Linked DNA regions of Xenopus tropicalis. The protein of the gene in region 1 interacts with the protein of each later gene in a pairwise test. Links are inferred from orthologs where the notes say so. Each region holds a gene or a part of one and is shown in the gene's direction. Other genes may lie near its edges. The genes, in order: tmpo and lmnb2.

Region 1 (4,438 bases):
ACCTACACTGCTTCAAATGAAAGTTTTGTTCCTCTAATATAACAGGTGGCTTCTGGTGCATTGATTGTTTTTATGGGAAAAAAAGATCCCCTTGCTATCTGTCTATAATCCCCTCTAATGTACTTGTATAGAGTAATCATGTCCCCTTGCAAGTGCCTTTTTTCCAGAGAACACTAATCCTACCTTGATAGTCTAACCTCATAGTTTAAATCTTTCAACCCTTTTACCAGTTTAGTTGCACATCCTTGCACTCTCTCCAGCTCATTAATATCCTTCTCTAAGGAGAATGAAAGGCAACAGCTAATTAAGCAAGGTCTATGTAAATGCAGCCACAGAAAAGCTACACTGAGTCCTCTATCAAAAGAAACAGAGGATTTAATTTCTACTTTTGTGTACAAACATTCTTCAGTATCAGACTTCCTTCTCTCAGAAAAATCCTTCAGGCCACGGCCTGAGTCTGCTCAATTTTCTTATTTCTCCTATTCTCTTCTCCTGTTCCCCTCCTATTATCTCTCACTCCAACTGTGCTGTTACCAGCAGCCAAAGCTGCAACACAGAAGTTAAGACCAAGCTAAAACAGAGGGGGGTTCTAGGGTTCTAGAGCTGTTTACTCAGGTACTGTAGCTTTCTGCAGAATAAATACAGTGTTCTAGCTTGCACACTTGTGGCTAATCTATTGCCAATAAAATGCCTTTTCATGCATATTCAAGGTATGGCCTAGGAAACCTATAAAGAGGCAAAATAATGTTTAATACTTTGAGTAAATGCCTTTTTAATGCAAGACAGCACTTTATCTCCTTTAAAAAAATCACCTTCTCTATAAAGAATCTACCAACACACAACTACACTATGTACCAAGTGCATAACTTTGCATTTATCAGCACTGAACCTGGTTTTCCATTTTGATCCTGTTTTCCAAATCTGTCACATCTACCTGCAAAGTGACAGCATCCTACATAGGAATTTAGTACCATCAGCAAATACAGAAAGCGTACTTTCAACGCCCACCTCTAGGTCTTTAAAAACAAGTTAAACATGAAATAAATGTTTCTAAACATGTAAATAAAACATGGCAAACACTGCCCTAACGCTCGTTAACATGAGCTAGTTGCCTATACGAGTTGTAATGGTGCTTAGGAAGCACCTAGCGGAGCCATTCACATAAAGGCGGGCCCTCAATCCCCCCCACCCTATCTCAGCTCACACTGTGCTGTGAAAGGCCGCGCTGTCGATTGTTTTTTAAAGAAAGTCCCCAGCCAATGATTTGTTCTTTTGGTTTGTCCGCCAGCCAATGGCGGCGCGCTTTGTTGCGCTACATCGTCGAATGTAGTGCGACCGTTGCCACTGAGCAGACTGTTTCCGTTTTGATTCCCCCCTCTCATCCTGTTCATTGGAAGCTCCTCTCATTGTTTTGTGTTCGCCGTGATAGGGGTTCTACATTGAGGGGAGACGGCAGCGCTGCACCATGCCAGAGTTTCTGCAAGACCCGTCAGTACTCACTAAGGATAAGCTCAAGAGCGAGTTGGTGGCGAACAACGTGACTTTGCCGAGCGGGGAGCAGCGGAAAGATGTGTACGTGCAACTGTACCTCCAGCACCTCACCTCCCAGAACCGCAGCACCCCAGACTTCTCCAGTGACGAGGAGAGGGAGGCCACCCCTGTGAGAGGCAGAGGCCGCCCCCCGGGAAGGGTAAGAAGCTAAAGTGAAGCCCATTGTGCCCCGTGTGACCGCTCTGGCACTTCTGCAACTCTATCACCTGTACAACTCTATCACTGAATCTGTTCCAAAGCCTCAGGGGCCGCAAGAGGGACAGGTGCGCTAGGCACAATGGCTGCCTCTTGGTAAATAAATGGGGCTGGAGCTCGCAGTTCTGTTAGCCGGCATACAGTTTGGCTTCTATCAAGTGTCTCAGGCTAGGTGCTGGGCGCTATTCCCATCATTCGCAGCAAGCTGTTAGAAGCTGTAACGCCAAGCAGGGAGGAAGGACTGCACTTTAGAGGGGTTTGTTCGGGCGAGTAAATGGCCAGATTGCCATTTTATTTTGTGGCCGAGGTAATGTTTAGTTTACAATCAAGCTAATGAGAATCCCCGGATTGGGTTTCCCGCCGCCTGCCGTGACCGAGCGCCCCCTACTGCCCACACATCTCTTTATTCTTCCCGCTTTTTTCCACCCGGGTAGTTTTTATGCCAAAACCTTCCCGTGAAGTCATCATCCTAATAAATGAAGTGGCTGTGTTATGATTTGGAACGCGTTTCCTTTATCTAAGACAACCTTTATATCACTGTCTCTATATGCAACTCATTTCTGCGCTGCTGCAATATTGTGCCAGGTATCCTTAGTCGCATCAATAATCGGTACCCTTGGAAGTTAAAAAGATATATATTTTTTATCTGGCTTGAAACGGTGTAGCCAAAGCTAGTTCCCCAGGTCTGTATCACCTAGTTTGTTACATTGTTTCAGAGGGCACAGTTGGTTTTGCAAGGGATATAAGGGTGAAGACACACTGAGTTACTAGTAGCAGCTACTTTTTCACTGCTACTAAACGCCAAAAAATCCCCTGCCATGGATTATACTGAGAATTGCCTCTGCTAAAACACATGTTGAAACAATTATCAGTAAATGATCAGCATTGTCTATTTAAGTAGCTGCTACTAGTAGCTCCATGTGTCTTCACTCTAAACAGCCTGACTATCAACAAACAAATGTTGCTGTATATGGTGCTTAAAGAAGTGCATTTTCTTTCATTATTAACAGTTAAACAGTGGATGAAATATTAAAGGCAGAGGAACTCAATATAGCATTGGCATGTACAGAGGGGTACTCATGTCTCTGGTTGTTTTAACAGTGTCCGGTGCTTGTCAGACATGTACGTCCATAGCCTAAATAATCAGGCACATACTGGTTTCTTATAAAACAGTTATATATGTTTAGTGTCCTGATCTTATCAAATGTCTATTGATAAGAACAATCGCGAAATGAAGCCAGACACTTCTTTAAATATGCACTCAGTACTGACACTAATACTTTGACAAACTGGCCAGTCTCATGTAAAGTGTCATGTATGGTTGGCATTAGTGTAGATGTATACAATGTTCTGAGCACCATAATGAGGCAAATAAGCTTATCAAAGAATGGGGTACTTCAAACTTTTATCCTGGTACATGGGATTTATGTTGTTAGTGATCTGATAATGTCTTATGTGAAACGTATTTGTAGAAATGTGGGTTTTTTGTTCGCTTATAATTGTATGTTGTGATAGTTTGAATACTGAAAAACTGGGTTAATATGTATTAAAACTGTGAAGTCAAACTTCACTTATCATATTGAAACTTGATGTGCATTTACACAGGGTACAACAAATATATATTCTGCTCCAACCACTATTGAGTACTTTTTTTTCTGGTAAATTGTCAAAACCAATTTAAAATGAGACTCTTCAAAAAAACTACGCTCACCACTTTGCAAGGTTGGCCCGAGTGCCTTGTCCCTGATCCTTCACTGAAGGCGAGCCCTTCTGTAACTGTTCATAAAAAAAAATATGCTCGCATGGCCATTCACCACTCTGTTCCAATAGTCTGGGTGCAGTGCCTCAGACCTGTAGTATGGAGGTGACCCAGCAGTCAAAAGCACAATAGGGGTAATTTATAATGACTGGGCAAATTTGCACCTGGGCAGTAACCATGGCAACCAATCAGGTATTTGCTTTTATTGCTGAATTTGTTGCTGGATGAAAAAAAGCTAATAACTGATTGTTTACTATAGGTTACTGCCCAGGTGCAAATTTGCCCAGTCTTTATAAAAACCCTCATTATTTTTGGCCCGATGTCGCCAAGCGAACAGATCTTCTCCCGATATCCCCCACCTACGGGTGGGCGATATCGGGAGAATCCAGGGTAATTCGATCATTTGGCCCTGGGGCCAACAAACGAATTATAATGGCGGGCATAGACAAAGTCAGTCCGGGGGCCACATCAACGATCCGATGTGGTCCCCGATCCAACTAGATTTTCTAACCTGGCCGATCGAGATCTGGCTGATTTCAGGCCAGATATCGGTCGGGCAGGCCCGTCGGGAGTGCCCATACACGGGCCGATTAGCTGCCGAATTGGTCCAAGGGACCGATATCGGCAGCTACTATTGGTCCGTGTATGGGGACCTTTAGAGCTAAAAAGGTGATAAAGCCATAGTAAACATACATTTGATATAAATCAAAAAGCTGTATGTTGTAATCATGATATAAAATCTAATTTGTAATGTATCTTAATTTATTGGACAGAATTATCTGCTCTTTTCATGTTTAGGGGCCAGATTGTTATTAAATAGTGCTACTGAATCAGCTTGTACTTTAAGCTCCCTTTCAGAACCCCAAAAAAGACTGCATAGCTTTGCACAAATTATCACAAATATTAATTAAAATTTTCAAAAAGGCAATCTTT
Region 2 (3,822 bases), on another chromosome or scaffold:
TGTAGCAAAGAGATAACAGTTAGGGCTGTAACAGACAGGGAGATTAGTCCCCGCATGACAAATCTCCCTTGTTGCAAGCGACTAATCTCCCCGAAATGCCATCCCACCGGCTAGTATATAAATCACCGGTGGGATGGCATACGTGAAGTTTCCGATCAAGGCAACTTGGGCGATTTCGGCAAATTGCTGCGCCGCGTATGCCATCCCACCGGCGATTTACATTCTAGCCGGTGGGATGGCATTTTGGGGAGATTAGTCGCCTGCAACAAGGGAGATTTGTCGTGCAGCGACTAATCTCCCCGTCTGTCACAGCCCTAACAGTTCTCTGTCTTCGCTACATTCCTTAATCTTAAATTGAAGTCCACATGCCGCCCCCCCCCCCTTGCAGCCTAAGTTGATGGAATTTAGATGAAGATAAACATTAAAAGTCAGGCTAAAAAATCAGCAGCAACAACTGACTGAAGCCTAGGAGGAGATGTGGAGAATCGCAGCGTTTTAGAAGTTACTTTTTAATAAAGCATTAAAATAATAAAAGGCACACATACATGCTAAATTACATCAGCCAATATAATCTCAGAATTTTTACATCTACACTTCTTCCTGGTACATCATTTCCTGTCAGGTGATCTCTGATGGTGCACACAGACTATTACAAAATAGTGGCTCAAGGTAAATTATGTAATACAAATATTTACACACACATTTGAGTTTGGTAAGTTTCTGTATATGGGGCTTCCCAACAGCTGCACAGTTGCTATCTGGCTGTTGGCAGGATTGGATTGATTCTTTGGCCCCTGTAAGCAGAACAACAATGAGCTTGTTTTATGCATTCCAAAACAACCTGACAGATAATACAACATTGGAAAAACCGATATCCAAGTGAATTCTAAATATTAAAGTATGGTTTTGTAAAGTACTAGCAAACGCCCAAATAAATGCAGTACATTATCTAAGCAAATCTAATTGTGCCTGGGTACATGCCTTAAAAAAATACATCATTGGATTAAAAATGTAACGTATTCTAGTTTACAGTGAAGATCTAAAAATGAATCGCTTTTCTTCCTTTTTAATTCTGTAGTCTAAATTTTTGACACCTGTAAACATTCTCAAACCTGTGCCTAATAAAAGTTCACTTATCCAAGTGAGTTTCGCAAAGTTTTTAATTTATTATATTTCAGGTTAGTGGCATAAAGAACTTGTACGAATCAGAGCTTGCTGATGCTCGTAAGGTTTTGGATGAAACAGCCAGAGAGAGAGCCCGTTTGCAAATAGAGTTGGGAAAATTCCGATCAGATCTTGATGAGCTCACAAAAAAGTAAGATGGAAAAATACTATGTTATATTATACAATCTGCAATTGGTATTTTTATTTTTTAATTATCATTTTTTCTGCAGCTCAAAATTCAGTTTTATGGCTTACCAATTCAGCATTTAAAATCGGTGCTTACTTCTAATCAGTGCTGAAGAATTTCCTGTTCATAAAATAGCATATTTTGATCCTAGAGTGAGTTTTCTTTTTTCACTTTCTAGGGTTTATCACTATTGCTTATGATCATGTGAACACTTTCTCACTTGATAGTTGCTTTGCATATAGATATTTAATAAAATGAAAGTGGTGTAAAGGTAAGCCTTTATTTTTTATGAAAGGGACAATGCTTTCCTTTGCATTGCCTTGGCTCCTACAGAAACCAGACTTGGGCATTAATAAGCTTCAGCCTTTATTTATTGCTGTCAATGTCGGTAACATTAGCTTAGAAATTGTCTACACTGCATTATGCCTAGTGGTAGATTTGAGAATAGAACCAAGCAGGAAAGGCTTTGTAGTATATGAAAAGAGATGAACTGAGATTGCTGCCACACACCATGAAATCCTAATATAGTTTAAATGTCTGCACTGTCCATATCTTCCTAGTGTCCCATTAGGCTGATGCCACGTGGGGCCTCTGAACGCCTCTGCTGGCATCAGCCCCCTACGTTTGCCTGCACCCGGAAGCGTTGTGTAGGCCCGGGTGCAGGTACATGTAGTGGATATTGGCAAAAAAGTGAGAGTTTGCATTTAGAGCCGATATCTGCTGTGTGCCTGCACCCGGGTAGACACATTGCTTCCAGGTGCAGGTAAGCTGGGATGCTGATGCCAGCAGAAGGGCTGCCAATGTTTTTCCGCAGGCCCAGAATCAGCCCCGTGTTGCATTAAAGTTTGTATTTTAGTGCCAATAGATTGATGCACTATATATTGAAAGCAGATAGGTGTAATTCCTAGGTTAGCCATCATGTTTAAAGTTATAAATCTGTAATTAAAACTTAAAAATATGGTTGCTCATTACTCTGTCTAGCAGAAGAGACCATGTTGACTTTTAGAAAGTAGTGACTGGGGCACATTCAGTAGATACTGAAAAAAAGACTTGTGATTTTGCAGCTGTTTTACAGGCAGTGTTTATACTTTTAATCTTGTATCTCTTGTTCTCTTGATCTCTAATCTCTTGTTCTCAGATGTAAAGTATTAGCCTAGGAAGTTGCCATTTTGCAAACAGTTTGAATTGGCCAGCTGAATCACACAGTTTGAATCAAATTACATAGTTATATAAGATTGTTATATAGCATTCTAATTTCAACATATTAAAGCTCTCTAATCTCTGTATTGACATTAGCAATACACTTTACTAAAGCTTTTACTAAAATTATATGAAGTAATGGCCACATCTGGTATAACGGGTAGATACTGTATTGTTAACAGCTTTCTTCCATACTCCCACAGCTACAAAAAAAAAGATGCTGACCTGTCAACGGCACAGGGGCGTATTAGAGATTTGGAAGCTCTCTTTCACCGTAGTGAGGCAGAACTTGGAACTGCACTGGGTGAGAAGCGCAGTCTGGAGGCAGAGGTAGCAGATCTTCGTGCCCAGCTTTCCAAGGTATGAAGACATTTGTGGACATTTTTGCATGTGGTTAAAACTCACTTACTGAGACCCCACACCCTGCCTGGGATCAGAATGATTACTCTTTTAAGTAGGCATATATTTGCTTTTAATATTTTAGTTATTTGCTAATTTGTTTCATTATTACATTCTCACTTGATTTGATTCTATATAGTTGGGAAAATAGTCTTCAGTTCAACATGCCTTGATTTTGTTTCCCATAACATTTAACATCAATAAAGGTTATACTGACTGCCTGTCTTGGAATAGCCTCTCCTATCCTTCCTGTTGCCTTCACTTAGGGGTACATTCATCAAAGTACGAGTTTGAATCTCGAAATGGGTAAAATTTGGATTAGATACGATAATTTCTGACGATTGGAAATGTCTTCAAAATGCTTACAAAAAATCATAATAGTCACAATAATATCGTATTGGCTGTCCGAAAGTCACAAAATGTTCGTATCTGAATGATAAACAGCGGGAAAACCTTTCTGACTTTGAACCTTCTGTGCATGATTTTGGAAGCCTCCCATAGGACTCAATGGCACTCTGCAGCTCCAACCTGGCCCAAGGAAAGTGACTATACCGAAACTTTAATGAATCCAAAACTTTAATACTTGTTGCGACAAATACGTTTTTGTTGCATAAATTTTGTTGCAAGGTACAAAAAAGTCATGCAAATTAATGAAAAAAACGCAAAAATACGCACAGTTCTATAAATTAGAAAAACTACGTTTTCTGTATTCGGACTCGATCGTACTTTGATAAATGTGCCCCATAGTGTTATAATCCCATTACAAAAAATTAGCAAGGGGATATGGCTTAGCAGGATTTACCACTATTAACCTGGTTAGCTAGTTTTTGCTACAATAAAAGCAAATACGCTTTCTTCAGAGGTTTATCTAG

The links.
Region 2: the proteins of tmpo (region 1) and lmnb2 interact in a two-hybrid assay, tested with the Homo sapiens proteins (2 studies listed by BioGRID, with this or other methods). The link is inferred for Xenopus tropicalis from reciprocal best matches to the Homo sapiens genes TMPO and LMNB2.

What each region holds. Positions count from the first base shown.
Region 1 is NC_030679.2:51,508,527-51,512,964, forward strand, and holds the start of tmpo (thymopoietin), read left to right. Parts: upstream 1-1,392; 5' UTR 1,393-1,465; coding exon 1,466-1,690; intron 1,691-4,438. UniProt on the Homo sapiens protein: May help direct the assembly of the nuclear lamina and thereby help maintain the structural organization of the nuclear envelope. Possible receptor for attachment of lamin filaments to the inner nuclear membrane.
Region 2 is NC_030677.2:92,888,781-92,892,602, reverse strand, and holds part of lmnb2 (lamin-B2), read left to right. Parts: intron 1-1,178; coding exon 1,179-1,315; intron 1,316-2,754; coding exon 2,755-2,911; intron 2,912-3,822. UniProt on the Homo sapiens protein: Lamins are intermediate filament proteins that assemble into a filamentous meshwork, and which constitute the major components of the nuclear lamina, a fibrous layer on the nucleoplasmic side of the inner nuclear membrane.